7 separate regions of the Mus musculus genome follow, and regions 1, 2, 3, 4, 5 and 6 are each reported to be linked to region 7. The links are microRNA targets in miRTarBase. Many come from high-throughput screens and were not tested one by one. Region 7 holds a microRNA gene; each other region holds the end of a gene's coding sequence. Distances are between the middles of the regions.

Region 1 (4,438 bases), 11 Mb from region 7:
GAACTCATGGTCCCTCTTGCCGCCCTCATCTCCCGGTGTCTCCCTATGCTGCCTCTGCCCACTTGAGACACGTTTCTCCGTCCTTCCCCGCAGCTCAGCCCTCTACCTTTCTCAGCTTCAGTCTTCTTTCAGAACGTCTTTTCCACCAAAAACTGCACTTAGGGACTGCCCTCTCCCTTCACCCCTTCCTCTCCAGAACCCACAGTCCCATTTAGTGGAACCCAGCGGACTTGACGCCCACTCTCCAATCTGAGAAACTGAGGTTATCTGTTTCTTTCCTTTCAGCTCCAGGGCTCCCTGTCCGGCGTGGGTGGGGAACCACAGCTGTCTGTCTTTAGCTTCCTTTTGTCTCCCGTTCCTCTTCTCTTTGCAGAGTTCTTTATTGATGGGCTGGGGAGACTGTTGGTGGGCTCTTGCCCGGGTGTAATTATAAACCACCAAGTAAGAACACCACCAAAGGATCCAAAGCTGGCTGCCTTGGAGAAGACTTATGACAAATACCGGGCCAACACCAATTCTGTGATCCAATTCAAGGTTGCACTCCAGTACTTCAAGAACCATCTCTACTGCTCCACTTAAAAAGTACCAAGACCAGGAATCGCAATAAACAGATTAGCGGCGGGCAACAAAAAAAATAGTAGGATTGGACATTGGAGGGTACCAAAAGCAGACTCCTAACAAGGGGAACAGGGAACAAAGAAGCTGGAAGCTGGAGCTAGGGTAGGACCCTGAAGTCGGCTCAGGACCCCCAAGACCAAATTCTCAGCACAGAGATTTATCTGCCCTAGAGAGAGAAAGGGCAGGGAATGAGACAAAGACAAGGGCTGGAAGGTGGTGGGGCACACCTTTAATCACAGCACTCCGGGGGCAGAAGCAGGTGGATCTCTGCGCATTTTGAGGACAGCCTGGTCTACAGAGAGAGTTCCAGGACAGCCAGGGCTACAGAGAAACTCTTATCTTAAAAAGGCAATAAGTTGATCTAAAATAATGTTATTTAAAGCCAGATGATAAGGTTGGTGTAGTGTTGTGATCCCAAAGCCCAGTAACTGAAGTAGGAGGATTGAGTTCAAGGCCAGCCTGGGCTATGTAACAGCCCATCTTTAAATGAGTGACTAGGGGGCTGGAGAGAGCTCAGTGCTTAAGAGCGATTAGGACAGAGGACCTAGATTGGCTCCCAGGACCCACATGATGAGTCACAACTTCATACCTGCAGTTTCAGGGAATTGGAAGCATCTGCTTACCTCCAAAGGCTCCTGCATATGAGTGGTGCATACATACACGCAGGCACACACATATGCACACAAAATACGCTTTAAAATAAATGAAGGAATGAGTGAATGGCTAAATATTAACCAAATAATTCCGATTTTATTTTGTCAAGACTGCCTGGCCTAGCACTCACTGTGTAAGACTGACCTCACACTCATGGCAATCCTCCTGTCTCCACTTCCCAGTGCTGAGGTATGAGGTGTGAACCACAATTTCTGGCTTGGATTTTTAAAAAGAATTTACACACACACACATACATACACACACACTGTAGCTGTCTTCAGACACATCAGAAAGGGCATCAGATCCCATTACAGATGGTTGTGAGCCACCATGTGGTTGCTGGGAATTGAACTCAGAACCTCTGGAAAAGCAGTCAGTGCTCTTAACTGATAAGCCATCTCTCTAGTCTCTAGCTTGATTTTTAAACTTTGACTTTTAAATATACTTATTCATTATAATTTTTTTTCTTTTTGAGACAGGGTTTCTCTGTGTAGCCCTGGCTGTCCTGGAACTCACTCTGTAGACCAGGCTGGCCTCGAACTCAGAAATCCGCCTGCCTCTGCCTCCCGAGGGCTGGGATTAAAGGCATGCACCACCATGCCCGGCTTATATTTTGATTTTAATGGGATATTAAGATGGATGTTAAGATTGTGAGCTTTCAACCCTGTCTCGGAAAACCAAAAAAAAAAAAAAAAAGAAAGAAAAGATTGTGAGCCTTCATGTGGTTGTTGGGGATAGAATCTCCACTCACTCCAGTCAACCCTGTTCTCAGTCCCTGCTAACTCCGGCCCAAAGATTTATTTATTATTATAATTATTATACGTAAGTACACTGTAGCTGACTTCAGACACACTAGAAGAGTGTCAGATCTCATTACCGGTAGTTGAGTCACCATGTAGTTGCGGGGACTTGAACTCAGGATCTTTGGAAGAGCAGTCCATCCTCTTACCCTCTGAGCCATCTCGCCAGCCCATTTCAACACTCTGAACATACTTACACTTTATTTTTTACTTCCTGAGGTAAATATTGCTCTGAGCTAGACCATAGAAAGCCAAACACCAGTGGGTAAGGAGGCGAGGAATGACATGCCAGCTAGTTGTGGTGTGGGCCTTTAATCCCAGCCTTGAATTCAGAGATCCTCTAGCCAGGGCTAGGCAGTGAGCTCTGTTTTGTTTTGTTTTGTTCTGTTTTCAGAACAAAACCAAAATCAGGGGCTGAGGAAATGGCTCAAAAGGTGAAGTGTTTGTTACCCAAGCATGAGGACTTGAGTTCAGATTCCCAGAAGTAAGGCATAGCTGCCAGTCTGTAACCCTGGGCATTCTCACAGCAAATGTTAACATCCTCCATTTTGACTGGGTTGTCGTTAGCATGCTCAAACACAGTCTTTTCTCTACTTCAAGATCTAGAACCATCTCTCCAGAAGAGAGAGAGAGAGACAGAGAGTGAGTTAGTTTCCTATGATCCAGTAACACCTCTTCCCCAGGAACACAGGATGTTCTAAAAGGACATCCATTCAACTCAAAGGGTTCAGGGACTCCCTGAAACCCACCAGACAGACTAGGCCCCCTCTTTTCCAAGTATATTAGCTGTGAAGACTGCTGAGAGGCACTCTCAGACAAGTTGAGCTGCCTGAAACAGACATTCTCTAACCTGTTGAGCTGTCTGCAAGTTGTACAGAGGGCTTCAAGTTTACAGCTTTTGTGACATGGTGAGCTTTCATGGTGCCGCTGTCTTTCGAGTCATTTGTGATCCTGCGGTAACCCCTCACCCATACTTCTGTCTGTAACCCCAATAAAACTCATCAGTCTGCTATACTGGACTCGGGTGGTGTGCTTATTTTGATCCGTCATTGGTTCCTGATTGGAGTGAGTACATGTTTGTCCCCATCTTCCCAAGGTTAGTGTCACATGGCAGGGTGATATTAAGAGTCTCTGAGCACAAAACTGGAACATTTCTTCCTTTGGGTCTTCCCGTGTCCCAAAGCAAGTGGCTCAGTGACCAAGTCTGTTAAAACATTAGCCACATTTAAAGACTATGAAGGCCCAGGGCCCACTCTTGAGACTGCCAGCCACATCAAGTGGAGTGAGAGGGCAGGTTAAAAAACAAAAAACAGAAACACAACGAACCCCCTTCCTGCTAATTCATACTGCAGTAAGCAAAGACAGGGAAGCAATCTTTTTTTTTTTTTTTTTTTTTGGTTTTTCCAGACAGGGTTTCTCTGTATAGCCCTGGCTGTCCTGGAACTCACTTTGTAGACCAGGCTGGCCTCGAACTCAAAAATCCACCTGCCTCTGCCTCCCAAGTGCTGGAATTAAAGGCGTGCACCACCATGCCCGGCTGGAAGCAATCTTTTAATGCCACCAGAGGAACACAAGTAGGGTTACAGTGAGTGTGCCAGTTCGATTAAGTTAAGAAAGAAGGTGTGGGGAATGCCTGGGACAAACCTGAGCATGGAGAAGTGGGGACACAAAGGCAGTCACTGTCACCTACACACTCGCTGTAGGGATATAATCCTCTTGAGAACCCATACCAGGCCAGTTGTGGTGACAATGTCTTCGATCTCTGGTCTACAGAGCCAGTTGTGGGGCAGGAGAGCTACAGAGCTATATAGTGAACCCTGGAAAGTGGACCGGGAGTGGGGGGGGGGGGCGGGGAGGGGAGGGGGAAATTATGCCAATGTGTCCTGTGCAGTCATGGGACCCTTTCGGAGGGTGGGGCAGGTCTCTATGTAGCCCTAGCTCTCCTGGAACTCACAGAGATGAGCCTGCTTGTGCCCACAGAGTGCTGGAATTAAAGCCATGTGCTACCACGCCCAGCTCACATGGCCTTTGTAAGAATGAAATAAGCGGGAAAATAAATGAGGTCTACAAATGCCTAGTGTTCAAGCACAGCCTTGAGGTACTGGGTTTCAGACCCAGGACAAGAGGCTGAGGTTTTGGTATTTTACCAAAGCAGACCTGGCCTCCAGGTTCTCCCAGCATCCCTCAGTCCCTACTTGAACTCTGCAGCCCAGAGGCTGGGCTTCTCCTCAGAGGTTCTTCACTATATAATCCAGACATTTTGTTTTGGTCTGGGCATCCTGTACCCCCAGCCCCCTCTGCATTTCTCTTCCCCCCTCCGCTCTGTCTCCTTGTCTGCACGGTGACCTCCCTGGTCTCATTTCTTG
Region 2 (4,168 bases), not on the chromosome of region 7:
CATTTTATAAAAATAAATCTGTGTGTCCCTGTTACTTCATCACAATTGTAAAAGAAAGCTTTATGCTTCAAGAAAGGCTGAGAAAATGGAATAGGGTATATTTAGGAGATAAGTTTATAGCTACAGTTTCTTCTTCCCACTTGACTTTTCCTAGTTTCTAAACAGACTACTGTTCTTTAAAAGTTACTTCAAACCAACTGTGAAAAAAACAAAAGAAAAAAAAAGAAAAAAAGAAAAGAAAAGAAAGAAAAAAAGAAATCAAAGATGAAATGTTCCCTAAAAGACCTGTAAGGAAGTTGCTTTGTTTTGCAGAAACCTTCGAATGAAACCAAAATTGAAGTTGTACATTGTGTGGAAGAGGTTGGATTTGAAGTCATGGGAAATTCCACGTTTTGATGGCATTTTGCCATTCTGAAATGAACTCATACAGGACTCCGTGATAAGAGCAAGGACTGCTATTTCTTGGCAAGGAGGTATTTCAAATGAACACTCAGAGCCAGGCGGTGGTGGAGCTCGCCTTTAATACCAGCACCTGGGATGCACAGATGGGAGGATTTCTGAGTTCGAGGCCAGCTTGGTCTATAAAGTGAGTTCCAGGACAGCCAGAGCTACACAGAGAAACCCTGTCTCGAAAAAACAAACAAACAAACAAACAAAAATGAACACTCAGTTTGAATGCAAGTCACCAACCCATCCAGACATGAGTCACCAATGTCCCATTTCATAAAGTGTGCATGCCTCACTCAAACCTCCTTGCTCACAGCATAGCACCAGACTCACCCAGAGCATGGGCCTTTGGTTTCCTACCCAGAGTACCATGTTATACCAGTGTGTCTTTGAAAGTTGCTTGACTTACCTTGAACTTTTTGCACAGGAGACAGTTTTTTTAAGCTAATGTCACACATGTTTACTTTGGGTTAAGTTGCCAGTGGTAGCACTCAGCTACAGTGACAGGAGGAAAGGATAGAACTCATTGAGAGTGAACCCAAATTCAAGACTGTCTTTCCTGAAGCAAGTGGGAGACACAATTTCATGGTGCTTTTCCCCTTTGAGTTCTAGAATAGTTTTCTTTCTAGAACTGTGCCTGTGTCTTAAAGCATAAGGTAACATTGAGGCAAAAACAAAGACTATGTCCCACATGTCCCTGTGTTCCATAGGCCTGTTCAAGGAAATGTCTAAGCCAAAGTAAGTTTAAGTCACCGTGCCTGGGGTGAAAAAGATGGTTCAGATGACGAAGAAGCATGAGGGCCTGAGATTGATCAACCAGCATCAAGAAACAACAACAACAACAGCAGCAGCAACAACAAAACAGTGCAAGAAGCACATTCCTATAACCCCAGAGTTGGGAGATAAAGACAAGAGGATCCATGGGAATTGTAGTTCAACCAGTTTAGCCAATTATGTTTTCTCTAGGTTCACTGAGAGAAATGGTCTTAAAAATTTAAGGTGGAGAGTGACTAGGCAGATCCTCTGATACTGACTTCTGCCCTAAATATGCATACACATGTACACACACAACACAAAGACACCATTCCCTATTGAGAGAGAAGACAGAAGCTTGTTCAAGGATTAAATTCTTCAAGGCTTCTAGGTACTCTGGAAATGACCTGAGAAAGACATTGAAAATAATTCTGCTTTGGAGGTGATTGCTGGATCTAGAATGTACTTCCCAAAGAGATGTTTGATGAAAGAGCCTTCATGGCAACCTGTTGGTCAACTCATGCTTAGTCAATTCTAATCTCTTAAATTAGGGTTTCCTATACATATTACAATTGTATAAAAATGTATTCTCTAAATATCTTCATTAATGAAGCTGTATCTATAGGTCTTTTTGATGGGCTGAACATAGAAGCAAACACACTTATGTGTTGGGAAGAGGAATAAGTAGTGATAGAGGGACCTAGTGGTGGTTATTTTACATAGTCCTGAAGAGCTAAAGACAATGAAAGAAGAAATGGTACTCACAAGAGAGAGAGCTATGTCGGGGTCCTGTCAGCCAAATCTTGCTAGTATATGCAATAGTGTCTGGGTTTGGTGGTTGTATATGGGATGGATCCCTGGGTGGGGCAGTCTCTGGATGGTCTTTCCTTCCATCACAGCTCTGAAATTTGTCTCTGTAACTCCTTCCATGAGTATTTTGTTCCCCATTCTAAGAAGCAGTGAAGTATCCACACTTTGGTCTTCCTTCTTCTTGAGTTTCATGTGTTTTGCAAATTGTGTGCCTGGCAAATACAGAAGCAGATGCTCACAGTCATCTATTGGATGAAACACAGGGCCCCTAATGAAGGAGCCAGAGAAAGTACCCAAGGAGCTAAAAGGGTCTGCAACCCTATAGCAGGAACAACAATATGAACTACCCAGCAACCCTCAGAAATGTAAATGAAGAAAATATCTAATAAAAAATGCCTTAAAAAAAAGAAAAGGTACTCAAAATCCACAACATAACTTACTTTTTATGTACTTTATAGAGATGGTTTAGTCAGGTTTCATAATCTGGGTGAAGTGCACATGGAGTACAAAACATCCCTTGCATGGCTCTTATGCATTAACATAGAACCATCCACCATTCTGTGCTCAGAATGAAAGGTACAGCAGTCATGGACAACTGCTAATATTAGATCTTTTCTAAAGGGTCAGATCACCATACCAGATTCTCTGTACTGTCTCTCTGCTCTTTACAAGTCTGTACTGTGTCACTGGCATACACATTACTGCCTACCCCCATTAATGATACAGTAAATGTGGAAAAGAAAGGTCAATTGCTAGGAAAGGGTACAGTAATAAGACTCAGAGGAGCTCAGTAACACAGAGGAGATTATCACATGAAAGTTGAAGTTGACTTTAGGGGTCAGTCCAGGAAGTTGAGGCTCATGGAAGTGTGGCTATAAGAGGCAAAGAGTTTATTTGATCAACTAACTTACCAAGAATCTATCAAAATGGTACTAAAGACTCTTTATAATGGACACTGGTCTGATTGAGCAGGTCTCGGGTGGAGTCAAGAATTTTCAAGATCAGCAATTTGAAAGTAAGGCTGTGGGTCTGTATACCACACTTTGATAAATTATTAGGAACATCACAACTTGAAAGCTGACTAATAAAAGACGGAAATGACCAACCCCAAGAATTCTCTGTCTCTTGTCTTGCAAAGAAAGCATAGAAACACCATTTTGGAAACCTACCTCTACTTTGGACTTGGAGGCTGGATTAGAAGCAGAAGCAGGGAAGCTGCCCTCATACAAGGCCAGTTGTTAGTTTTATGTGTATAGGTCTCTCTTGAGAGATGCCTCCCTAGACCTAGAAGCAGGCATTCCTCTAGATGTCACAGACCTCCTGACCACATCCCTGGCTGGTGCTATTATCTAATCAAGGTACATGTATAAAAAGCAATACAAATAGTTCCTGTGGCCATGTCAACATGTGGACTTATTCTTCCTGATTCTTGGGTTAGGACAATCATTCTTTGGGAATCCATATCCAACATTATCTCTTCTATGAAGATTTCAAAATGTACCCAACAGTTTATTTGCTTCTCTGCTTGACAATATGCCCTAGGAACACTAGCACTATGCATATGAAATGTATCTTTTTATTTGCAGGGTCTAGAACAGTACATAACCTTTAAGAATTACATATGGTTTTAGGACCGGAGAGATGATCCAGAGGCTAAGAGCACTGATTGTTATTCTAGAGGATATGGGCTTGATTTCTAGCCACTTGGATGGTAGCTCACAACCATCTATAACTCAGGTCCCAGGGGATCTGATGCACTCTTATTTAGCTGGCATTTGCTACATTGTGGGTTCTTCTTTCTTTTACCCTTCTCCATCCCCTTTCTTCTACCTGTTCAATCCTCTAACACTAGATAAAAGGAAGAAAGGATAGAAAGGAAACAGATCCCTTAGTAAAATCAGGGGTAAAAAAGGGGGCAATGTTATCCTTAGACTACTTCCTGCTGAGTAGGGTCACTGAGTTCCATGATGTAAGTTTGATCCTCACTGTCAGGATATCTAATTTCTTCTTGTTGGTGTTTCTTCTTTGTGCATGACTACTTAACAAACTGTGACCAACAGCCCACTACCACCACCAATAATAATCATAACCACCACCACCACCCACCCACCCACCCACCCTCAAGGCCCTAGCATTTATATACCCTCAAGTCCTCAAA
Region 3 (4,450 bases), not on the chromosome of region 7:
TTCCCCTGGCTTGCTCAGCCTGCTCTCTTATAGAACCAAGACTACCAGCCCAGAGATGGTCCCACCCACAAGGGGCCTTTCCCCCTTGATCACTAATTGAGAAAGTGCCTTACAGCTGGATCTCATGGAGGCATTTCCCCAACTGAAGCTCCTTTCTCTGTGATAACCCCAGCCTATGTCAAGTTGACACACAGAACCAGCCAGTGCAATGGAAAACAATAAAGTGCAAGAACTTAAATGTTAACTTTTCTGTAAAAACAAGACAAGTTATTGAGGTATTAGGAGCAGGAAACAAAAACTACAATATAGCATCCTACTCCAAAAAAAAAAAAAAAAAGGTAAAGATGCAAAAATACATTTAGAGGCTTCCAAACTCAATGAAAAGTGATAGTGCTTAATGTCTAAAGGCTCAGAATCCTCTTCTTAGGTTTTAACAAGAAGTCCAGCAGCTACTAATGCTAAATGCACAGCATAGACTCTGTGCTGGTTTGAATGAGAATCATCCCCATAGGCTCATATGTTTGAATACTTGGTCCACAGTTGGTTGAACTCTTTGGGGAACCATTAGAAGGTGTGGCTTTGTTGGAGGAGGTGTGCCACTGGGGTCAGGCTTTGAGGTTTCAAAAACCCTTGCCATTCCCACTTAGCTCTTTTGCCTTGTGATTGTGGATCAAAATGTAAGCTCCCAGCTACTGCTCCAGGACTATGACTGTCTGCCAGCTGCCATGCCCCCACCATGACGGTCATGGACTCTAACCATTTAGAACCATGAACCCCAAATTAAGTGGTTTCTTTTATAAAGTTACCTTGGTCATGATATGTTGTCAGTGTTGAGAGCCATTTTGTTCCATGTCTGCCAGCTATTTCATATTGTTGCTGTAATATGCCTGCCAACTTAAGTCAGAGCAGAGTAATGCTGACCACATACTCTGTTATGTCCTGTATTTTATGAGGTTTGTTAATCTTAAACAATTTCACAACTATAAGCTTCAGGTAGGACCCATAAAATTAAAGGTCAATATGATCTGTTATATCTAAAATGGCTTAAGTCAGGGCTGACCACTGGGCATTACTTCCAGTACTTGTGTATGAGCTCACTGTGGGGTTTTTTTTTTTTTTTTTTTTTTTTTTCAGTTTTCGCCTTTATAAGCTGACATAGAAAAATGTTTGGGGTCATAACCCCAGCTCACAAATTCTAAGCTATGGCTCTCTAATAGATCAGTCTTAGGGTGTGTGTTCAATAAACCATCCATGTCTGACTAAGATCAGTGTTTGTGTGGTTTGTGGGGTGACTCTTGGACCCCAACTGTCAAGGCAATAGGAAAGTGACCTGCTAGGTCTGACTTTTCTTGGTATCACATTTTTAAAAAAATTCTTCTTGGCTTGGCATGGTAGCATTTAGGGTGCAGAGGCAGAGGCAGAGGCAGAGGCAAAGCGAGATCTCTATGAGTTTAAAGCTAGCTTGGTCTACATAGTGAGTTCCAGGCCAGTGAGAGCCTTGTAATGAGACTCTATCAAAACCACAAAACAAAACAAAACAAAAAAAAAAAACCAAACAAACAAAAAACCAAACAAAAACTCCCTTTTTATATAGATTTTTGAGGATGTTAGCCACTCTAGTTGGCGGTGCCAACCTGGAATAGTGTGGCCTAAAAATGAGGCAGACCAAAATCTTATGCAATAGCCAAATTTATTCAGAGCATTAACTCTGAAGGTTAAGAGAAGTCACCTGAGTAAAGTGTACAATCACAAGGACATGTGGTAAAAACATGTTTTTCCAAAGAGGCATATAAACAAGTAACAATATCCAGCTGTAATGAATACTCTGGAGTAAGCTCACTCCTATCTGCTATGCCTGGGAAGGGCACGAAAGCACATTTCAAAAACAATTTTGCTTTTGGAGAAACTTAGGTCACAAGACTCTTGTCTTGTTTTCTTGGAGATTTCGCACAAGCATTCTGAATTCCCCTTGAAGGACTCCATTATTAGATCAAGTCCCAACAGTTAGCAAATACTGTTGGCCTTGTGAAAGAGGCTTACATTGTCAGGAAGATTTTAATATATACATTAAAGTGGTTTGGGGGTGGTTTTGCTTTTGATATTTCTGATTTTTAGATAGTGTCTCATATTAATTAGCTCAAACTGGTCTTGAATTCTGTATGAACCAAGGGTGGCCTTGAACTCCTTATCTTCCAGTCCCTACTTACCAAGTGCTGGGATTACAGGTGCATGCTACCATGCCCAACTCCAAATTTACTATCAAGGCAGAATACTCTCTCATGCAATGAGGAGTTAGAAGGCAGGGTAGTTTGAGAATTGGCGAGTTCAGGGGCTCCGCGATGTCCTAAAGATCGTTCCTTTCTGACATCTGTGCTGCCGTCCTCATCTCTGTTTTAAGGGAAATCCTCTTATCTAACTACCGGATGGAAATAACTGTATTTATTACGAGAAATGGTGGTCTTACCTCTTGGATCAGTGGTCCTAACTCAGCAGTGGCTAGAAAGATGACTGGAGAAAAAGAGTGATCTCAGAAAGAATGTTTTTTTAAATTCCTTTATTATAAAGTTGATAAAACTGAAAAACAAATGTCAAATATGGCTGTCCTAGACAACTAATATAACAGTCGATACTTAAACTTCCTCTTCAGACATTAGCACTATAGGGCTGGTAATGTAGCTCAGTAATGATGTGCTGCTAGACCAGAGTACCTGAGGCCCTGAGTTCAATCCCTGGCACTAGGGTACAGGGAGGCAGAAGAACAAGGCAAAACATTAGTTCTGCATATATACATCTTTCTACTGGGTAACTTTTTACAGTGTGTCACTACTTTCTAAAAGTATATTACATTGATCATAACTTATTCAAATTGATTCTGATTTTAACAATGTTTTTTTGTTTTGTTTTGTTTTTTGTTTTTTAGAGACAGCGTTTCTCTGCATAGCCCTGGCTGTCCTGGAACTCACCCTGTAGACCAGGCTGGCCTCGAACTCAGAAATCTGCCTGCCTCCGCCTCCCAAGTGCTGGGACTAAAGGTGTGCGCTACCACGCCCGGCCTTAACAATGGTTTTAATGTACAAATACTGCAAGACTGGGATTTTGATCCCCTGAGGGAATTTCCATTTTGCCTCAATGAAAAGTGCTCACACAGTTCCATGGCGTTCTTCTAGGGTTACCTCCAGACCTCACAACGCTTCATCCTTTCCTCCAAAAGTGTAAGCGGCTCACAAATTCTCTGAGTTTCAGAAAGAAAGAGTAGTTGCTCACGCTGTCCTTCCCCTTCCCGGACGCCCTGCGCCGGCTGTCGTGATAACTGTCTTTGGTGGAGCCGAGGTCTGCTCCAGCTGGTTTTAAATCATTGTCCTTTGTCCATCTCTCTCTCCAGGAGTCTTTCAATTTTCTAAAATAGCTTTCTTTTTCAGACTCTTCCTTCCATATTCCTTCTCCTTTCTTTAAGGCCGTCAATTCAGCTTTAAGTAAGTTTCTGTGAATTTTCCAGTGGGTTTTTGAGTCATAATTTAGCCCTTTAACAAGGACGGTTTTGCCCAAGCCTCTTCTCAAAATCTCCTCATTCAGATTCACGTTAAAATATCCGCCCTTGAATAAAAAGGAGGAAACCAATTACTTAGGAGTGATTATTGTGATTATTATAACCATAATATCTTATTTACCTTAAAAATGCGGCAAGAACAGAAAAAAGAAAAAAAAAAACAAAAAAACAAAAACAACAACAACAAGGATAACAAAACCCACCACTACCACACACCACCAACCAAAAAACACGTAATGCAAGGCCTCCAGGTCGAGTTTGATAGCACATGTTTGTAATCCTAGCATTTGTGAGGCTGAGTTTGAGTTTGAGTTTGAGTTTGAGTTTGAGTTTGAGTTTGATAGCACATGTTTGTAATCCTAGCATTTGTGAGGCTGAGGCAGGAGGGTTACTTACTTATTCACGTCCAGGTTGGACTACAAAAAAAAGAGATGCAGTCTCGAACAAAACGGTAACAACAATAAAACAGGGCATGGAGATATCCAGCATCCATGCAAACAGCTAGGCAAGGCAGTTCAGGCTCATATCCTGGTGCTGGGAGGCAGAGACAGGTGAATCCCTGGATGTCACTGGCCAGCCAGCTGAGAGGTGAGTAGGTGATCTCTAGGTTCAGAAAGAGAAGGGAAAGGTGCAGGGTGATGAGGGAAACACCTGATATCAAACTCTGGCCTTCATGCATGCACACACAAGAGTGCACACCCGTATACCCCTACACACACACACACACACACACACATACACACACACAAACATATCAACAACAAAAGGATTGAAGACCCTAAATCAGCTATTGCTAATTTGAAAGATTTTATTTTTTTATATACTACATTCATGCAAGCCTTGCTCAAAGTCACTGCTGATTCTCATTGATCTCTAATGCAAAGAAGCATAGAAATGACGAAG
Region 4 (4,450 bases), not on the chromosome of region 7:
CTAGTCAGCCTGACTATATAGCAGAACTATATATTTACAGATTTTAACGTTTTATCATTAGAGAGAGAGAGGAGGGATGAGAGCATATTGTATGATGGGGGTGTGCATGGTGTGCATGTGGAGGTGGGAGGACAACCTTGTGGAATTGGTTCTCTCATTCCATGTTTACATGGAATCCAGGGATCAAATTCAAGTCACTAGGCTATCATTTCAAGAGCCTTTACCCACTCGTGGCCCCTAGTGGAATTTTTAAAAAACACACAAACAAGGTGTCTTTGGCCAGGAATGATAAAAAGCTGGGAGATTATACATACTTATAATTCCAATACCTGGGAAGCTGAGGCAGGCCTGGCCTGGGTTACATACTGAGTTCTTGATCAGTGTGGGCTGCACAGGAAGACCTTGTCAAAGGAAACAAACATTAACCAAAAGGCCAAACAGACATAGCAGATGTCAAACTCAGCATGTATTTGAAAGAGTAACTCAGTATACTTTTAGTGTGTTTTTTGGTATTGACATACTTCATACATATCATGATTTGGGATACTGTGATTTTTTTTTTAGGCACACTTAAAATGAATTTTTGATATCCTGTTTCCAAAAAATTAATTCTTCTCTATTCTTTTAAGGCTACGCAGATATAAAGTTCTAGGGAGTAGTAACTCTGACTCAGACCTTTTCTCTCGCCTGGCCCAAATTCTTCAAAATGGATCTCAGAAATCCCGGAGTACTACCCAATGCAAGAGCCCAGGATCTCCTCACAATCCAAAAACACCACCCAAGAGTCCAGTTGTACCTCGAAGGAGTCCCAGTGCCTCTCCTCGAAGCTCATCCTTGCCTCGAACATCTAGTTCCTCACCATCTAGGGCTGGACGGCCCCACCATGACCAGAGGAGTTCTTCCCCACATCTGGGGAGAAGCAAGTCACCCCCTAGCCACTCAGGATCATCGTCCTCCAGGAGGTCCTGCCAACAGGAGCATTGCAAACCCAGCAAGAATGGCCCAAAAGGATCTGGCAGCCTCCACCACCACTCAACCAGCTCTAAAACTCCCCCAGGGAAGAGTAAGCCAGCCAGTAAACTCAGCAGATAGGAAGTGAGCAGGCTACATCTCTGGGAAAGGCGTGAGATCTTCTTCCTCCTAGACCTGATGCATGTGTGTCCCTGTACTGTCTGTTTCAAACAATCAGTGTTGATCTTCTCTTGCAAAAGAAAGTAACATGATCAGTTCTTTATAAGAAGACCTAAGTATAACTAGCTAGGGCAGGTAGAAGCACATCAGGAGTCCGTGCCTCTGCACAGGAAGCGTCAGTCCAGCAGTGTCCGAGGGGAAGAAACTCAGGCCTGAGCTCTTGTTTATAGCTGCCTTTGAAACAGAAAATTGAGGATAGGAAATAGAATGGGATTTTAGGTGATTTTGCCTAATTTGTTAATCTTCTACTCAAAAAGTATATAGCAAAATTGTTTGATATTTTTATTTAAAACTTCCTAACCTTGGAGAGTCATTGCGCAGACATTCAAATATAAGAAGCTTGTTGCCAGGAAACCATTACCTGGGTATATTTGGTTTGTGTGTTTATTTAGTGAATCTACACCTTTCTTTCCACTCATTCCTAGTATCTTCCCTGAATTTTACATTTTTTAAAATTAATGTTTTTACCTCTTATTTTTAACAATACACCCTAATGTGTGTTTTCATCAGCATAGGATAATCCAATTACCTTTATTTAGTCAAACCTTGCTATTTTCGTTTGAGCAACAGTTCTTATTCTTAACTCCTATATTTTTATCTCAAAAATGAAAGAAATGTCTATCTAGAGCTATTTTGGGCAAAAGTATCTGGAGAGGGACAGAGTGGGACAATGGCTTTCAAAGGTACAAGCACCTTTCCCCTGACTGCACTTCCTCCTCTCAGGAGCCTGCGGAGGAGACAGCTTCCCTGGGTTCTTTCTAGTGTCAGCCTTCAGGGTGATCTAGGAAAGAATAACACTTCGGAATGTGGCTTATACTTTTAGAGATTTAGAAAGAAAATATGTTACTAAGGCTTACAATCAGATTTTGTATTTTATACATTTAGCCAATAAGGAATGAATATCTGGGAAATAAATTTAGACTAAATAGTTTTCTTTCAATGTTTTTATTACCTGGTTCTTGTGTTGTTTAATGCTTGGGCTTCTTAGCCTGACTTCCACATTTATAAGAAGACGTAAGTATAACTAGCTAGGGCAGGTAGGAAGCACATGAGGAGTCCGTGCCTCTGCACAGGAAGCGTCAGTCCAGCACAGTCCAAGGGGAAGAAACTCAGGCCTGAATTCTTGTTTATAGCTGCTGTTGACATCTAAATTTCAGTTTATAAAGCTGTAAGGATGATCATATTCGTTCTAATCTTACTCTCTTACTAGCAGAAATCAGGCAAATTAAAGACACCAGACTTTTTAAGTGGACTATTTGATGCTCTGTGGGTGTATAAAAATCTTATTGAGGTCAGGGAAATTGATCTGCCTGCTGTTGAAATCTGCCTTCTAACAAACATCTACTTTTTGACTTTGTATTGCTGCCAAACCTGTAACTGTTGAATTTCAGGAGTGGGGTGGAAAAGGAAACGTGTTTCTTCACTAAGTGAGCATGTTCCAGGGGTGCATCCCAGCTGCCCAGGCACTAAACTAACTTAGCTTGTTCTGTGTTGAGCGTTTTCAAACTTGGGACACTACACTGAGACATAAGGTCTCCCATGAGAAATGGGGCATAGTGTGGAATCTTAATTTCTGTCCAGGTTCAGGCACTTGAGAGCAGTGCAGTAGGTAAGGCGCATTTGTTGTTTATCTATTACAGCTGTAATACTGGAGACTGATCCTTATGTATTATATTGTATAACAGTTACTGCAGTACTGCTTGCATGTCTTTCATGGTAAATTATATAAATATTTATAAATATAGAAGAGACATATGCTTATATAAATCCATTTTTTTCTCATTCTGCATTTGTAATTTCAAGATTATAGATGATAAAATTCCTTTTCTATTGTGTGCTTCATGTACACTTGGGCATTGCCTGTCTTCATTTTCTGAACACATGTTCTTGGCATGTGGTCCCTAAGAGTAGTCCTGCCTTCCGGGTGCACACTGAAGCAGCTGGCACTTGTTACCAAGCCAAGGTGTAAGGTACTTAATTTTCACTTAAAAAGTATTTTAATAGGGGAAAATTTTAACAAGATATGCTTGTAATACAGGCTCAAAGATTACTCATGTTAGCCACATAGTTCTGTCCATATGGTTAGAGTGGATAGATGGGCATTATAATTATGCAGCTGACATCAACTGTTTTTTAAAACATTTCCTGAAAGTTGCCTCTTCCATGTCACTTTTTTGAAGGGAAGTGGGGATGGGATGTAGGGTAACTAAAATTCTTTCTGTTACATTAGCTAAATGATGCTAAAAGTAGCCGGCTTTCTTGCTGTCCTCTCTAGTCAAACATGTGCTAATAGTAACTGGGAAAGCTAACAGGGCCCAGCCTTTTTCTTTGTGAATTTCTCTGCTGGCAGTCATGCTGACAGAGATGCTTTCTGTCTGTCTTTCAGTGTGTTGCCTCCTTTTCTGCATGCCGTTCACAAACTCATCAAAATCCAGAGACAAAACGCCTCATTATGTGAGAATGTTTTATTTTGTATGTAGGGAAAAGAACCAACCAAAGATGTTTCTGCTCTGAAGAAAAGGAAATGGACTAATTAATTATATCGTATGTATCAGTAGTTACATTTATTATTAAGTGCTGTCCTGATACAGAGATGAAAAAGTAGAACCTGGTGTGATGGCACACACTTTGATCCTAGCACTCTGGAGGAAGGGGCAAGTGGATTTCTGAGTTTGAGGCCAGCCTGGTCTACAGAGTGAGTTCCAGCACAGCTAGGGCCACACAGAGAAACCCTGTCTTAAAAAAACAAACAAAAGATTAAAAAACATAGTTTGTGCTTTTACATGTTACATTTCTTTCAGGTTAAAAATAAAAATTGGCAGTCTTAAGCCAGCTCTTCACTCAGGAGTATGATCTAGAGAATCAAGCTTTCGGTTTGGTTTGGGTTTTCAGTTCTTTGAGGTTTTTATTGATGGCATATTTCATATTTCAGTCACAAATCATCCAAATAAGGTAAAGAACATGACTGTAGCCATAATAGAAGTAGGGTGTGACAGAAATTATCTTTTGGGAGACAAGTACCTCCTGGCTTCTATCTACACAGGTTACTAACTCAGGCCTGTCCTGTGCTTATTTCAGTGGAGCAAAGAATGAACACTTAGTTCCTAATTTTAGGTAATGTTGCCCCCAAATTATACTACTGACCCGTAGGCTTTGTGAATTGCTTGAAATATTAAAATCATACCTCGTAATCTTGCACATCCTAAAGATATCTTGACTTTAATGGATAGTGAAAACAGGAGGGAATTGTATCCTATCT
Region 5 (4,450 bases), not on the chromosome of region 7:
ACATGTATATGCAGGTACACCTATACTTGTGTGCACATGTATATGGAGGGCCAAGACTGCCAGTGGAAGTATTCTTCAATTACTCTTTCTTATTCATTGAGACACATTTCTCAGTTGAACTCAGAGCTCACTGACACAGCTAGTCTTCCTAACCATTTTGCTCTAGGAGTTTTGTCTCTCCATTCAAAGCTGGAATTGCAGGCAGGCCACCATGGCCACCTGTCAAATGGGTTCTGTAATCTGGACTCCAGTCCTCATACTTGCATGACAAGTGCTCTAACCACTGAGCAATCTTACCCTACTCGATATTCCTTAGTGATTTAGTCTTGAGTCAGTCTTGCTCAGGAAGGTTTGCTAGACTTTGTAGAATTACAGAGAAATACAGCAGATTGTGGTGGTGTCCCTAGCAGCCAGTGGTCACACCTCGACAGACTGTATTTAACAGGTTACTTTGTTTCTGGTGAGTAAAGAAAGCTAATTAACACAGAAGGTGCTGCCCGTGGTTTATATGTCTTTTAATTTCTTAGGTGCGGCCATTTTCTTTGAATTCAAACATTACAAGCCTAAAAAGAGGTTTACCAGCACTAAGTGTTTTGCCTTCATGGAGATGGATGAAATTAAACCTGGGCCAATCGTAATAGAACTGTAAGTTTTGGGCATAGCAAATGAATGGAACTTAGGGGTCAATCAAGCAGAATATTTTAAACAATAATCTTTCTTTTGTGCTTTCAGATACAAGAAACCCACTGACTTTAAAAGAAAGAAATTGCAATTGTTGACCAAGAAACCACTTTATCTTCATCTACATCAAAGTTTGCACAAGGAATGATCCTGATACAAATAACCAAGAACTTGTGTGAATTTTACCACTCAGAACCCATCATAGCTCTGAGTAGCATAATCACCCTTCAACAGGCAGGAAGTGAGCCCTTCAACAGGCAGGAAGTGAGCCCTACCCACGCCAGCTGACCAAGCGAGTCTATTGCACAGCCGGACCCCAGAACAAAAGTTCAGCACATCACTGACCTATCACTCCTTTGGATACAGGTTTATTGTAGATTTGGAAACGTTTTCACTTTTCTATTAATTGTGCAATGAATAGTCTATTTTCTCATTGCCTCTACTCCCCTGTTTCCCGGACAGCACTGTTGTAGATGTGCAGAACTTCAGACAATGCAGCAATAAGAATGTGCAAGAGTCTACGTCTCTGCTCACTTCTGCTCCAGTATGCTCTTCTGGTTTCAATGCCACGCTGTGAGTTGAAGTGGGTAGAACTGCTCTGAGAGGAACTGGACTAGTTACATTGCCTAGCAAAGTCTCCTTAGAAGAGACCTAGCCTGGTGCCATGGGTCTCCTGCATAGAAAGTGTGACCTGGCCAGATGAGCATCCCACCCTGAGTGTTCCCCGGATGACCAGACTGATTTCCTGAAGAGAGCACGTGTATCGTCAGGTGGATTATCTGCTCTTCTCTATTGTACTGCTAATTCTTTCTGGTAGTTCTAGGGTTAACGTTGGAACCATCTCAGAATAACTATGGATTTGAAAATGTGTTTACAGTATCTTTTAAACTGTATCATTTAGGAACAGTTGAGTCAGATGTCAAGATGTTGCGGGATAACTGCTGCTTTCCTGACCACCCGTTGTGAGACCTTAAGACCCCGTACCTCTCCTTAGTATGCAAAAATCTGGAAAGACTGTCTATTTTTTTTTAATATAGGTAGATAGGATTGCCATTTATTTCCTATTTAGATATACAGTCATTCATCCATATGAAAATATGCAGGTCACTAGTTTATTTTGAATGGACTATTTACTTTTGGTGTAACAAGGCATAAATAAAACTTTGAAAGCACATGATGGATGGTTGTTACACAGAGCATTAGGACTCATGAGGGGCTTTCTGTGGGTTAGACATGCCATATACTTTAATATTCACATGTCAGTGACCTCACCACACCATTCAATATACTTGCTTTTTCAAGTAAATAACCACAAGGAAGATGTCTTAAACTTGTCCTTCAAGAGATCTAGTCTTGGCTTTCATTCAGCACCTACTAGGCCACTGTTTACTAGATGGAGCTTAATAAAAACTGTATTTCAGGTTCAACCTGAAAAAAAATCCACAACCAAATTAATCTTGATTGGGTAGTTCCAACTGCTAAAATCATCCCATCTATAATAGCTCTAGGGGGAGGAGATTTTTGCCTTAAATTAGCTCACTCTCCCACTCAGGCTTTGAGTTGTAGGTCCCCAGGCTGTAAGCTCCTGGGGCAAGAGTTGTAGCTGTCATGGAAGGGTCTAAGGTACTTGGCAGTACTCTGTACCTGGGGAGTACTCAGTACATTTTGTTTGATATTGCTGACTAGACATAAAAATTAATTCCTTAAAACCTATTATTATTAAAACGTAGCAAAGACTGTACATTGTCCTTTCTCATTTCTTACAGATCATAAAAGACAAATAGCAAGGTGGTAATTTTCTGTGCTACAGCACTGATCATTCACACAGCATGGCATATATGAACCACAAATGCCTGCCGTCAGGGTTAATAAAGCACTTTAGTGGAACATGATATTAAAAACTAAAGCTCGCCAGGCACTGGTGGTGCACATCTTTAATCCCAGCACTCGGGAGGCAGAGGCAGGCAGATTTCTGAGTTTGAGGCTAGCCTGGTCTACAGAGTGTGTTCCAGGACAGCCAGGGCTACACAGAGAAACCCTGTCTTGAAAAAAAACCAACTAACCAAAAAAAAAAAAAAAAAATTAAAGCTCAGCTTTAAATCAGACCCGAATGACAAGATTGTCTTAAAGCAGTGAACACAAAAGCACTCCCCACTTCACAAGTTGAGTTTCCGTTGTACTGAGCAATAGCCTTGTCTCTAGCACAGATGCTTTCAAGGTGAGGTGTGGCTCCTTCCTAAAGAGCTTTAGCTATTCAACAGAGAAACAGCGGGAGGGGACTTCTGAAACAAGAACTTTTAAATGGAAGAGTCCGACTCAACTGAGGTATCCTGTCCTCTGTGCCATCCGTAGACAGACAGGCTTCTGTAGCACAGGCCTCGTCAGATGGGGCTGAGGAAAGGCAGTAATCGACTGGCTCAGAGGGCACAGAAATGCTACAACTGAGGGTTCTACACATATTTCTGATGATTTTTATGATGATAGAATAACTAAAGGCCTTTAGAGGGAATATCCTAATTTTGAATATTAAAAAAAAAGGTTTACCTTTACTATTTGTCTTCTTAGCTTGTATAATTTTTATTTTATATGCCTTCTAAATTTAGGTTAGTCAAGATAGCTGAGGCAGGAGGATAGCAAGTTTGATCAAGCCTGGACTATATAGGTGAGACCTTATCTTTAAAAAAAAAAAAGGTAAAAATTATAAACTATATTTTTACTATTTTGTGTCCCAAGATTGACAGATACTTTCAAGAAGTTGTGTTTGCAATTTAATATTATTTTTATATGGTTAAAAATGGCATGTGTGGCTAAAGAGATGGTTCAGGAGTTAAAAAGCACTTTTTGATCTTGCAGAGAACCGGGGTTCAGTTCCCAGCACCCACATGATGGCTCACAACTGCCTGTAACTCCAGTTATGGGGATCTAGTGCCCTCTTCTGGCCCCATGGGTACCAGACACAACACATGTTGCACATACATACATGCAAGCATGCAAGCAAAATGCATGTGCATAGCATAGAAAATAAAGTTTCAAATTATATATACTCTCCTGTGCATTTTCTTATAAAATCTTGTGTAATTCTGGATTGGGGTCAGGCAGGCTGAACTCTTACTCCCTTGGACCTCCTGCATTCAGAGAACCTGTCTTTGTATGTCTTCAGTCATCGAAGATTTTATTTCACATTGAAGCTTTTGCTCATTTTTTTCAAAATCTCCAGTGGATTTAACTTCCCAGCAGTGGCATGATGTGCCCTTGGTTTCAGTCATTGCTTCACAGGACTTTAGAGAGTGCAGTGTCACAGTGAGCTGTTTTCACTTGTTATAGCTTTAATTACTGCAGCTTACACGGCTGCAGCAATTCACCTCGCTCACAACAGCCGTGTTACTGAGCTCAGCCCGTAGTTCAGGATGTACACTGGTTTTCTGATCTTTCTGCCTTATGGCAGCTTCCTGATTCTTTGCCATACTCCTTGAAAATCAGCTGCAAGGTGATATGAGAGAAAACAGAATAGACATTTCTAAAAAGAAATGATCTTACAGTCATGGCATATGATTTTTATCTTGTTAGTCACCCTTAGCGAAAGAATGGTTTTAAAAGCAACAAAATACCAGGTCGAATAATTTTATGTCAATTTTTTCCCCACACGTGCTGCAGCATGTGTGTGTGTGTGTAGGTCGTGGGAAGTGGTTCTCTTCACTAGGTGGGTCCAAGGAGTCAAACTCAAGCTGTCAGGCTTGGCAATAAGTGTCTTTACCTGCTGAACCATCTT
Region 6 (4,450 bases), not on the chromosome of region 7:
TCCTGAAGAGTAGGCCATTGCATTTTCTCCCTCCATATCTGCCTCTGAATCGGCCCCTTGCTACTACTTCTCTTCTCCCCAAGCTCCATGGAGTGCTAAGGATTTAGACCCTTGTCTTTCCATCTGGTAGGGGAAGGCTGGTCCAGTGGCCTCAAGTCTGCTCTAGGGAACAGGTGGTGAAGACTCCAAACAGTAGAGACAGAGACAGCAAGGAGGATGGTGTGTATAAGCAGGACCCAAATCACAGGAGCTAGCCTGGGAAAGCCTTGCGAGGAGCAGAGACACCTCCAAGTAGAGCCCTGGCAGCTGAGGAGCAGAGTGTGGGTGCCAATGTCAGGTCAAGTTGCCAGGGCTTCCTGGGTGCTCTTGGTCTTAGAGTACTGCCAGGAGCAGCAGACAGGAATAGCTATGTCCAAGCAACCCTGTCTAGAATTCAGTGTGTGGGAGGGCTCTGGTATAAATCTTCCGGTGGCCAGGTTCTGAGCTGGATGGAGCAGAGCCTCTCTGCAGAATACATGTACACAGAATACATGCTGTCTTGCGACACCTGTCCTGCAGATGGTTTTGGAGGGTAACACTCTGTGCCTGGGCGATAGGGTGGTGGTATTGGGCATGTTCAGTTTGGAAGCCATCACCGTCTATGCTAGGGATAGCCGAAGAGGCCATGAGTGAGCATAGTCAGGGAAGATCTACCATTCTCAGACAGTTAGCCTTGATGTGGGTGGTCGGGGTCCAGCAGCTTGACTCAAGGCTCTATCTGTTTCCATGCAGGGCCTTACTAAGAGTCACTCAACCCTTTATTTTTGAAAGAAGGAGATCTTCCGGACTCCTGGGCTGTCTTCCACCCTAGGCTGGGCCCTTTGCCAGCACCCAGTCGCTCACATCCGGCCCCCTCCCTCCGTACTCACTAGAGAGCCAACATCTGTCTCTAGCTGCCCGCCCCTCTCCTTCGACCCCAGAATACTCTCTGTTTCCCGCCTAATTATTGTCGCGGAAGAGGGGGAGGGGCGGCTGGAAGGACGTCCTCTGTGGTTTGCTTCTGGATTTTTGGTAGGCTTTCAGTCATTTCTTGTCTTGATCAACAGAATTTGCGTGAGAGTGCCTTTCAGTTATAGACCCTGGCTATAACCCGAGGCTGCCGGCCAGCAGTACAGCCTCAGGGGGATTTAGAACAGATTCCATTCCATGTGGTTGTCTGTAAAGTGGACCCTGAAGCTGACCGCTGTATGTCTCGGACCGTAGACCCACTCGTGGCAAACCCTGTCATTCTCGCCCATCGCCTGGGTCATCGCTACCCCAAACCATCACCCGGAACCCAAGGAGGGTCCCCCGGATGGCTGGGCGGAAAAGAATGAATGTCGGACTGGCCTCGGAGGCCTCTTCCACTTCCGGCGACTGATCGCAGCGGATACTTAGATTTCTGCAGTTGCGGCTGCGGTTGGCTGGCGTACGCTGCAAGCGGATAGAGTTTGGCTCAGGCTGGGGGCAGCGGGGAGGGCAACCGCTTCCATTACCGGCCGGGAGCCTTGGGAAGTAGGACCTGGAACTGAGTGTCTGTCAATCATGGATCAGGACGACCCAGCCGAAGCGTTGACTGAGCTACGCGAGAAGCGGCTGGGCTTGCTGGAGATAGTGCAAGCGGCGGCAGGCTCGGGATTGGCCGTCTATACTATATGGGCGCTGCTGCTGCAGCCGGGCTTCCGCCGGGTGCCTCTGAGGCTGCAGGTGCAGCGTTGAACCTTGGAAGGAAAGGGGCCAATACTGGTGCAAGCCAAGGTTCCATGGGTGGGGTCAAGGCTACTGTAGGTAGCGTAAAGATGGGCGGAATCAATTATGGCGCGGGACCTAACCCGGGAACCCGATGTACGGAGAGTTGGGACCAGGAAGTTGCGGAGCCTGGGTCTTTCGTCAAGACCAAGTCTAAATGAATGAAGCTGGGATTGAGTTACTTAGGGGGTACGGGCCTATGACTGGAGAGTGGGCGGGGCTCACTGGATGGTATCAATTTAAGAAAGGAAATCTAGTAGGCTCCCATCGGCCCCCAAACTGGTGCTTCTGCCTGTGTGATTTCTAGCCTCAGCCCACCAAATTCCTTATTCAGGTGCCCTACGTTGGCGCGAGTGCCCGGCAGGTTGAGAACGTGCTGTCACTGTTGCGAGGCCGCCCTGGAAAAATGGTGGATCTAGGCTCTGGTGATGGCAGGATCGTAAGACCTGTGTCTATATATTCGTTGTCCCTCTGGTGGTGGCCCCATTCCCTTCATCCAGATCCCACACTCTTGGCTCCCATAGGTGCTGGCGGCCCACCAATGTGGTCTCCGTCCAGCTATGGGATATGAGCTGAACCCGTGGCTTGTGGGACTTGCACGGCTGCATGCCTGGAGAGCCGGTTGTTCTGCGAGTGTCTGCTACCATCGAAAAGATCTCTGGAAGGTACCCTACCAAACTTGATACCCCTCCCTCCCCCTCCCACTCTCTTTCTTTCCAAACTTGATTTTCTTTACCCTCCCTCTTCCTTTCATTTTTTTTTTTTTTTTGAGATGTGTGTCCAGGCTTATCTCAAACTAGCCTTGGATTATAGGCATCAGACCTAGTTTATGCAGAACTGGAGATTAAACCCAGGGATATGTGTATGCTAGGCAAGCACTCTGCCACCTGAGGCACACCTCCAGCTCCTGATATCTTTATCTCCCAAGTTTCATGCTCTGAGTGGCTATTATGTGGATATCTGGGTGGGCTAGAGGCCCTACCTTGGGGACTGCATGCCCTCCAGCCTTTACCCTTGTTTTCTACAGGTGAGCCTCAGGGACTGTCACAACGTGTCTGTGTTCCTGGCTCCCAGTGTGGTAGGTTTTGGGTCTGTTGTCCTGCTGGGAGATCAGGGCCACAGTCTTGGCTCTTGGATGCTCTCGGGCCTGGAATATGTTCTGGGCTCAGCTGGATGGGGCAGCTTTTTCTGACCTGCTCCTGTGTTCTTTTCCCTCCTGTTCTTTCCTACAGCTCCAACTGCTGGAGGACAAACTGCAAGCAGAGCTCCCTGTGGGGGCCCGTGTGGTATCTGGACGATTCCCCCTTCCCACCTGGCAGCCTGTAGCTGTGGTGGGCGAGGGCACTGACAGAGTTTGGGCCTATGATGTCCATGGTTCTGGGCCAACTGTGTCTTCTTGTGGGGTGCCCATCAAGGCCATCCCAGAGTCCAGTTCTACCTTAGTCCCTAGAGCCCCTGTTTGACAAACTGGCTGACTGGATAAAATAAAGACTCTGTGGGTTCAATCCTGACTTTTGTTTGTTCCAGGAATCACTTCCTGGGGCAGGGTGTCCAGAGGGTTCCATGCTGGCTGTAAAGAGATTTCTTTTGAGATTTTTCTGGGAGACTAGCTAGTGACTCTGAGTCCTTGGGCGCTGAGGCCTAGTGGAAGATACAGCTTTTTTTTTTTTTTTTTTTTTTTTTTTGAGACAGGGTTTCTCTGTATAGCCCTGGCTGTTCTGGAGCTCACTCTGTAGACCAGGCTGGCCTCGAACTCAGAAATCTGCCTGCCTCTGCCTCTGCCTCCGGAGTGCTGGGATTAAAGTCGTGCGCCACCACTACCCGGCGAAGATACAGCTTCTACTCCTTGGGGATCTCCAATATTCACCAACTTCCTCAGTTTCAAGATTTCCTGCTTGTACCTGATTGGAATGATAAATCACTTGTCTGGCCATGGATTCTTTTCTTTCCACCAGATTAGGACCCTGGAGCCACATCCAGCCTACCTGCCCAAGTGCTGGTCCACATACTCCTGTAGCTCAGAAAGCTGCTGCTCTGCCATGGTGGCCCGGACCATCAGCTGTGCCCGTTCCCGTTCTAGCTCTGCCTGGTGGAGGCATGAGTTATGAGCCATGGTAGGAGGTAGAGTAGGGGGTCTCCGCCGCTCCTTCCCTACTACCTGAGTGTCCTGGGAGAAGTCCTGCAGCCTCTGCTGGATTTGGGCCCAGGATGCAGTGTCTAGGGCCCTGTGAGGAGAGGGTAGGAGGGGCAGTCTCCGAGCCAGGCATAATACTTGCTGCGTGGTTTTAGGACAGCATAGCACTGCCTGGAGCCCCGGAGCATCTGCACTTGGATAGTCCCCTGACTAGCTCAGTGAGCCCTCGTCTACACAGTGTTTTCTTCCCCAATTCTTGGGAGGTACTATCTCAAGAGCCTGCCTGGTATACAGCAGGTATAGAGGCCCAAATCTACAGCTGCCGAGGCCACTAGGCTGCCCACTGTCACCAACCCCATTTCACCTATCAGATACTTAACAAAGCAGCCATCCATTTTCAGTGATTACCAGTGTTCCATTCAAACTGAGATAGCCCAGAGCAGGGATAAGAGAACCCTACTCAGTAGCGAGGGTTGCTAGAATGAATGAAGGCTGTTCAGCTTCTGGTTCTCTCTGCCTGACTTGTAGACCTCTCCTATATCAACAGAA
Region 7 (4,450 bases):
TATAGTTAAAGCATCTACTCCTTTTTATTTATTTAATTAAAGGTGTGGAAATCTGTATTGCAACACCTGGAAGACTGATTGACTTTTTAGAGTGTGGGAAAACCAATCTGAGAAGAACAACTTACCTTGTCCTTGATGAAGCTGATAGGATGCTTGATATGGGATTTGAACCCCAGATAAGGAAAATTGTGGATCAAATAAGAGTAAGTATCTTTATGTTATCATAAAAATCAGTTCTAGGAATGCTCTTAAGATTGAAGTGTAACTTGCTTCCTTAAATCTTCAGCCTGATAGGCAAACACTAATGTGGAGTGCAACTTGGCCAAAAGAAGTAAGACAGCTTGCTGAAGATTTCCTGAAAGACTATATTCATATCAATATTGGTGCACTGGAACTGAGTGCAAACCATAACATTCTTCAGATTGTGGATGTATGTCATGATGTCGAAAAGGATGAAAAGTGAGTTTACATTTTTACAAATTGAGAAAAATCTTACATAAACTAAGAGTAATCAATTCTGAAAATTGTCTCAAAATAAAATTAAGGTAGTGTGCTATATGTTCTTTTAAAAGTCCATTTGTTGGTGATATGGCTTGGTGTGATATGAAGAACTTGCTTGGCTTGCATGAGGAAAACACTCATAGTTTTTGAACCTAGTCACTACACAAGCACGCATAAAGTGATACACCTGAAAATCTGTATGTGTGGTGGCTTAGTGGGTTTGACATTTGGATTCACTAAGCAAAAAATCAGGGTTGTGTTTGGTTTTGTTTTTATATCCTTTTAAAAATGGTGAGTTTTTCTTCATCTTTAGGCTTATTCGTCTGATGGAAGAAATCATGAGTGAGAAGGAGAATAAAACTATTGTTTTTGTTGAAACCAAAAGAAGATGTGATGAACTTACCAGAAAAATGAGGAGAGATGGGTATGTGGTTTCCTGAGTCAAAGCAGACTTAAAAGTACTTTGATCTGGGGCTAGTGTTTTTTGGGAATCATGCGCTGTGATATAGGGGTAATTGTATGGATTCGTTCCAGTGACTTGTAGTAGGCTCTGGGTTGCAATGCTTAGTGGGAAAACACTTGGCCAAGATGAAGTACAGTGGGAATAGATATTGGTAGAGTCTTGACAAGAGTTTTAAGTTGGGTATACTACTGATAATTTAATTCTTGGTATAGGTGGCCTGCCATGGGCATCCATGGTGACAAGAGTCAGCAGGAACGTGACTGGGTTCTAAATGGTATGTATTTCAAATAAGATTAGTTTGTAGCTTGATAACATCATTTGCTTGCATTAATGATTATTCATGGTTGTCTTTATAGAATTCAAACATGGAAAAGCTCCTATTCTGATTGCTACCGATGTGGCCTCCAGAGGGCTAGGTTAGTACAAACTCGAATTCATGGCTTGGTTTCCCAGAAGATCTCCATGTAGTTTTTTTTAAAGAAAGTTTATTGCTTTCTTTAACCTGCATTTTTTCTAAGTTTTTTTCACATAAAGGTGCAGTCTTTGTGGCAAGGCCTAGGCATGACAATCGGAGGACTCGAGGGGGATGGAGGACTAGTGATCGGCTGGCTGCTTCCAGTCGATTAGAGAGGTGAAAAGCTGAAAGTGTGCCAGTAATCTTCAAAGGGCAGAACATACCACCTCTGCCCCATAAACTGTTCTCTCCGGGGGAAAAAAATGGAAGTTACCTCACAGTTCACTGCCGTGGTATTTCATCTGTCCCATGCTTTGCATGATTGCCATGGTACAGCATTGTTTCAAACTGTTCACTGTGATCTGTGGGTCTTTGAGTTTCAGTGAGTTTGCTGAAATGTCGAAGAAATATTTCCAAACTTCAATGTTCAATGAAATTTTTGTTCAAGTTTGAAATGGAGAGAGCAGCTTTAAAAGCCTTTTACAAATTGGTGAGTACTGGCACATGAGACCTAGAGCAGGACCAACTTCTCACACATAGTCAGTGGGAAAAGAAAGTGCCTTGAAAGTTCCTCCCTCACCTACACAGTAGTCGTCATGTCGAGACCTGCCAGAGAGAGACACATTCTCAAGTGAATCCTGGCTTCTTGGAAGCGCTTGCCTAGACGAGACACAGTGCATTAAAACAACTTTTGGGGGACAGGTATGTTTTTCTTGCAGCTGCAGTTGTAAGGTCTTGGCAAGACAAGCAGTGTGGCCAGAGTTTTGAACTTCTGATGAGTGTAATGCAAAGGACCTTTACATTTTTGTTAAAAGGTCCTCAAAAATGAGCACATGAAGAGATTGCTGAGAAACTTTTAATTGGCCCTACTGCGCAGAAGCATTCAGATGTCACTTGATGATCTGTAAGGGGACTGTCAATTTGGGAATGTGCTAAGGAGAACACACATTCCCTTGATAGGCTGTCAGTGGGTGGGTGTTAAGACAGCTGACATGTGCAAATTTTTTTGTTGTTTTTTGGGTGTTTTGGTTTTTTTTTTTTCCTACCCTGCCCTTTTTTCCTACCTCAATGGTGTTCCTACAGGAAATGGATAACCATTTTAACTGTATTTTTTTCAGCCCGTACCTTCTTGGGAATACAATTGTCTAACTTTTTATTTTTGGTCTGGCTGTTGTGGTGTGCAAAACTCCGTACATTGCTATTTTGCCACACTGCAACACCTTACAGATGTGGAAGATGTGAAATTTGTCATCAATTATGACTACCCTAACTCCTCAGAGGATTATATTCATCGAATTGGAAGAACTGCTCGCAGTACCAAAACAGGCACAGCATACACTTTCTTTACACCTAATAACATAAAGCAAGTGAGCGACCTTATCTCTGTGCTTCGGGAAGCTAATCAAGCAATTAATCCCAAGTTGCTTCAGTTGGTCGAAGACAGAGGTTCAGGTAAGGATCTTCGTAAGAGATGTTTCTGGTAGGTGGCAGTTACCTCTTGTCTACAAAGTGGGATCGGAAGAATGAGTACTTCTTATTTTGAAACCTAAAGAATCTAAAAGCACTTAAGACCCAACATAAATAGAGCTATCTAACTCTCTCCTATCTTACCACACTTATGCCACAGATAAAAATTGATCAATTTCCACTTACTTTCTTGACAGGTCGTTCCAGGGGTAGAGGAGGCATGAAGGACGATCGTCGTGACAGATACTCTGCAGGCAAAAGGGGTGGATTTAATACCTTTAGAGACAGGGAAAACTATGACAGAGGCTACTCTAATCTGCTTAAGAGAGATTTTGGGGCTAAAACTCAGAATGGTGTTTACAGTGCTGCAAATTACACCAATGGGAGCTTTGGAAGTAATTTTGTATCTGCTGGCATACAGACCAGTTTTAGGACTGGTAATCCAACAGGGACTTACCAGAACGGTTATGATAGCACTCAGCAATATGGAAGTAATGTTGCAAATATGCACAATGGTATGAACCAACAGGCATATGCATATCCTGCTACCGCAGCTGCTGCGCCTATGATTGGCTATCCCATGCCAACAGGGTATTCTCAATAAGACTTTAGAAGTATATGTAAATGTCTGTTTTTCATAATTGCTCTTTATATTGTGTGTTATCAGACAAGATAGTTATTTAAGAAACATGGGAAATGCAGAAATGACTGCAGTGCAGCAGTAATTATGGTGCACTTTTTTCGCTATTTAAGTTGGATATTTCTCTACATTCCTGAAACAATTTTTAGGTTTTTTTTGTACTAGAAAATGCAGGCAGTGTTTTCACAAAAGTAACTGTACAGTGATTTCAAATACAATAAATGAAGGCAATGCATGGCCTTCCAATAAAAGATATTTGAAGACTGAATTAAGTGAAATTGTACTTTATTTTACATATATAATGTCATGTACAACTTGGCTTAGATAGTGTTTTTGGGGGGGATTTTTGTTTTGGTGTTTATTTTTACACAAGGAAAGTTGACTACTTCCCATTCCTGGATTTAGGAGAGGAACTCAGAAGGCCCTTAGGATGATCTGTTTGTATGGGAAGAAGTTAGAGACAATGGATTTTATAATTCCAGATTTATTGGATAAAAGCTTTGTCATTTTTCAGTATCAGGGAAGTAAGTCATTTAATAGCCTATTTTCCTTAAGAGTGAACTACAGGACAGTAACTATATAAATACATGTTGATTTCTTTTGCAAAACAGTTTTAAGTAATGACATTTTTGCTTTATCAAAATTTTATTCCATCTCTTGGTTTTGTTGTCAACTGCCGAAATGTGCGAAGCTGAAAGACTGTTAGCCCAAGAGCTGTGTGCACTGTGTCTTTAGTGCAGGATTACCTTGTAGGTTCCTAGTCCTCGAGGACTTGCCAGAGTGCTTATAGCCACACCTGGAAGTCAGGAATGTCTCCACATTATTTCAGGGGATTTTAGGGGTCTTGTAGGCTAGTCACAAGGAAGACGACATAACCAAAAGCACAGTAAAGTTTTCGGGTTAGGTTCACTATGGGCTTAACAGC

What was found. The annotated mature microRNA mmu-miR-3064-5p reads UCUGGCUGUUGUGGUGUGCAAA and lies in region 7 at 2,582-2,603, shown strand. An mRNA with a match to its seed (bases 2 to 7 or 8) in the 3' UTR can be bound and repressed. Matches are read on the target gene's strand: a 7mer-m8 pairs with bases 2 to 8, a 7mer-A1 pairs with bases 2 to 7 and ends in A, and an 8mer does both.
Region 1: the mRNA of B4galnt2 is a reported target of mmu-miR-3064-5p. Seed matches in the 3' UTR shown: 7mer-m8 at 931-937 and 7mer-A1 at 999-1,005.
Region 2: miRTarBase lists Il5ra as a target of mmu-miR-3064-5p. Seed matches in the 3' UTR shown: 8mer at 600-607 and 7mer-A1 at 2,289-2,295.
Region 3: the mRNA of E130311K13Rik is a reported target of mmu-miR-3064-5p. Seed matches in the 3' UTR shown: 7mer-m8 at 2,944-2,950.
Region 4: the mRNA of Ttbk2 is a reported target of mmu-miR-3064-5p. The part of its 3' UTR that is shown has no 7-base or 8-base seed match.
Region 5: miRTarBase lists Aida as a target of mmu-miR-3064-5p. Seed matches in the 3' UTR shown: 7mer-m8 at 2,696-2,702.
Region 6: the mRNA of Ccdc78 is a reported target of mmu-miR-3064-5p. Seed matches in the 3' UTR shown: 7mer-m8 at 3,477-3,483 and 7mer-m8 at 3,334-3,340.

What each region holds. Positions count from the first base shown.
Region 1 is chr11:95,862,212-95,866,649 of GRCm38, reverse strand. B4galnt2 (beta-1,4-N-acetyl-galactosaminyl transferase 2) reads left to right here. Exons shown (of 11, transcript NM_008081.3): 11 at 374-3,091. The coding sequence ends at 579. Among named protein-coding and RNA genes, the nearest start is that of n-TQttg6, 5.2 kb to the right of the region's middle.
Region 2 is chr6:106,708,610-106,712,777 of GRCm38, reverse strand. It overlaps Il5ra (interleukin 5 receptor, alpha), which reads left to right. Exons shown (of 13, transcript NM_008370.2): 13 at 313-2,403. The coding sequence ends at 396. Among named protein-coding and RNA genes, the nearest start is that of Il5ra, 38 kb to the left of the region's middle.
Region 3 is chr3:63,912,145-63,916,594 of GRCm38, forward strand. It overlaps E130311K13Rik (RIKEN cDNA E130311K13 gene), which reads right to left. Exons shown (of 5, transcript NM_177856.5): 5 at 2,547-3,594. The coding sequence ends at 3,193. Among named protein-coding and RNA genes, the nearest start is that of Plch1, 15 kb to the left of the region's middle.
Region 4 is chr2:120,736,374-120,740,823 of GRCm38, reverse strand. Ttbk2 (tau tubulin kinase 2) reads left to right here. Exons shown (of 16, transcript NM_001024856.2): 16 at 630-4,450. The coding sequence ends at 1,092. Among named protein-coding and RNA genes, the nearest start is that of Cdan1, 7.1 kb to the right of the region's middle.
Region 5 is chr1:183,321,757-183,326,206 of GRCm38, forward strand. It overlaps Aida (axin interactor, dorsalization associated), which reads left to right. Exons shown (of 10, transcript NM_181732.4): 9 at 528-645; 10 at 733-2,745. The coding sequence ends at 829. Among named protein-coding and RNA genes, the nearest start is that of Gm34102, 22 kb to the right of the region's middle.
Region 6 is chr17:25,789,328-25,793,777 of GRCm38, reverse strand. It overlaps Ccdc78 (coiled-coil domain containing 78), which reads right to left. Exons shown (of 13, transcript NM_001165929.1): 11 at 3,926-3,992; 12 at 3,753-3,853; 13 at 3,265-3,668. The coding sequence ends at 3,566. It overlaps Antkmt (adenine nucleotide translocase lysine methyltransferase), which reads left to right and starts at 1,384. Exons shown (of 5, transcript NM_145410.4): 1 at 1,384-1,725; 2 at 2,102-2,206; 3 at 2,292-2,432; 4 at 2,795-2,845; 5 at 3,000-3,278. The coding sequence starts at 1,564. The coding sequence ends at 3,230.
Region 7 is chr11:106,780,889-106,785,338 of GRCm38, reverse strand. Mir3064 (microRNA 3064) reads left to right here and starts at 2,580; the gene lies at 2,580-2,646. It overlaps Ddx5 (DEAD box helicase 5), which reads left to right. Exons shown (of 13, transcript NM_007840.3): 7 at 43-203; 8 at 287-459; 9 at 815-925; 10 at 1,177-1,238; 11 at 1,321-1,380; 12 at 2,646-2,870; 13 at 3,083-4,450. The coding sequence ends at 3,489.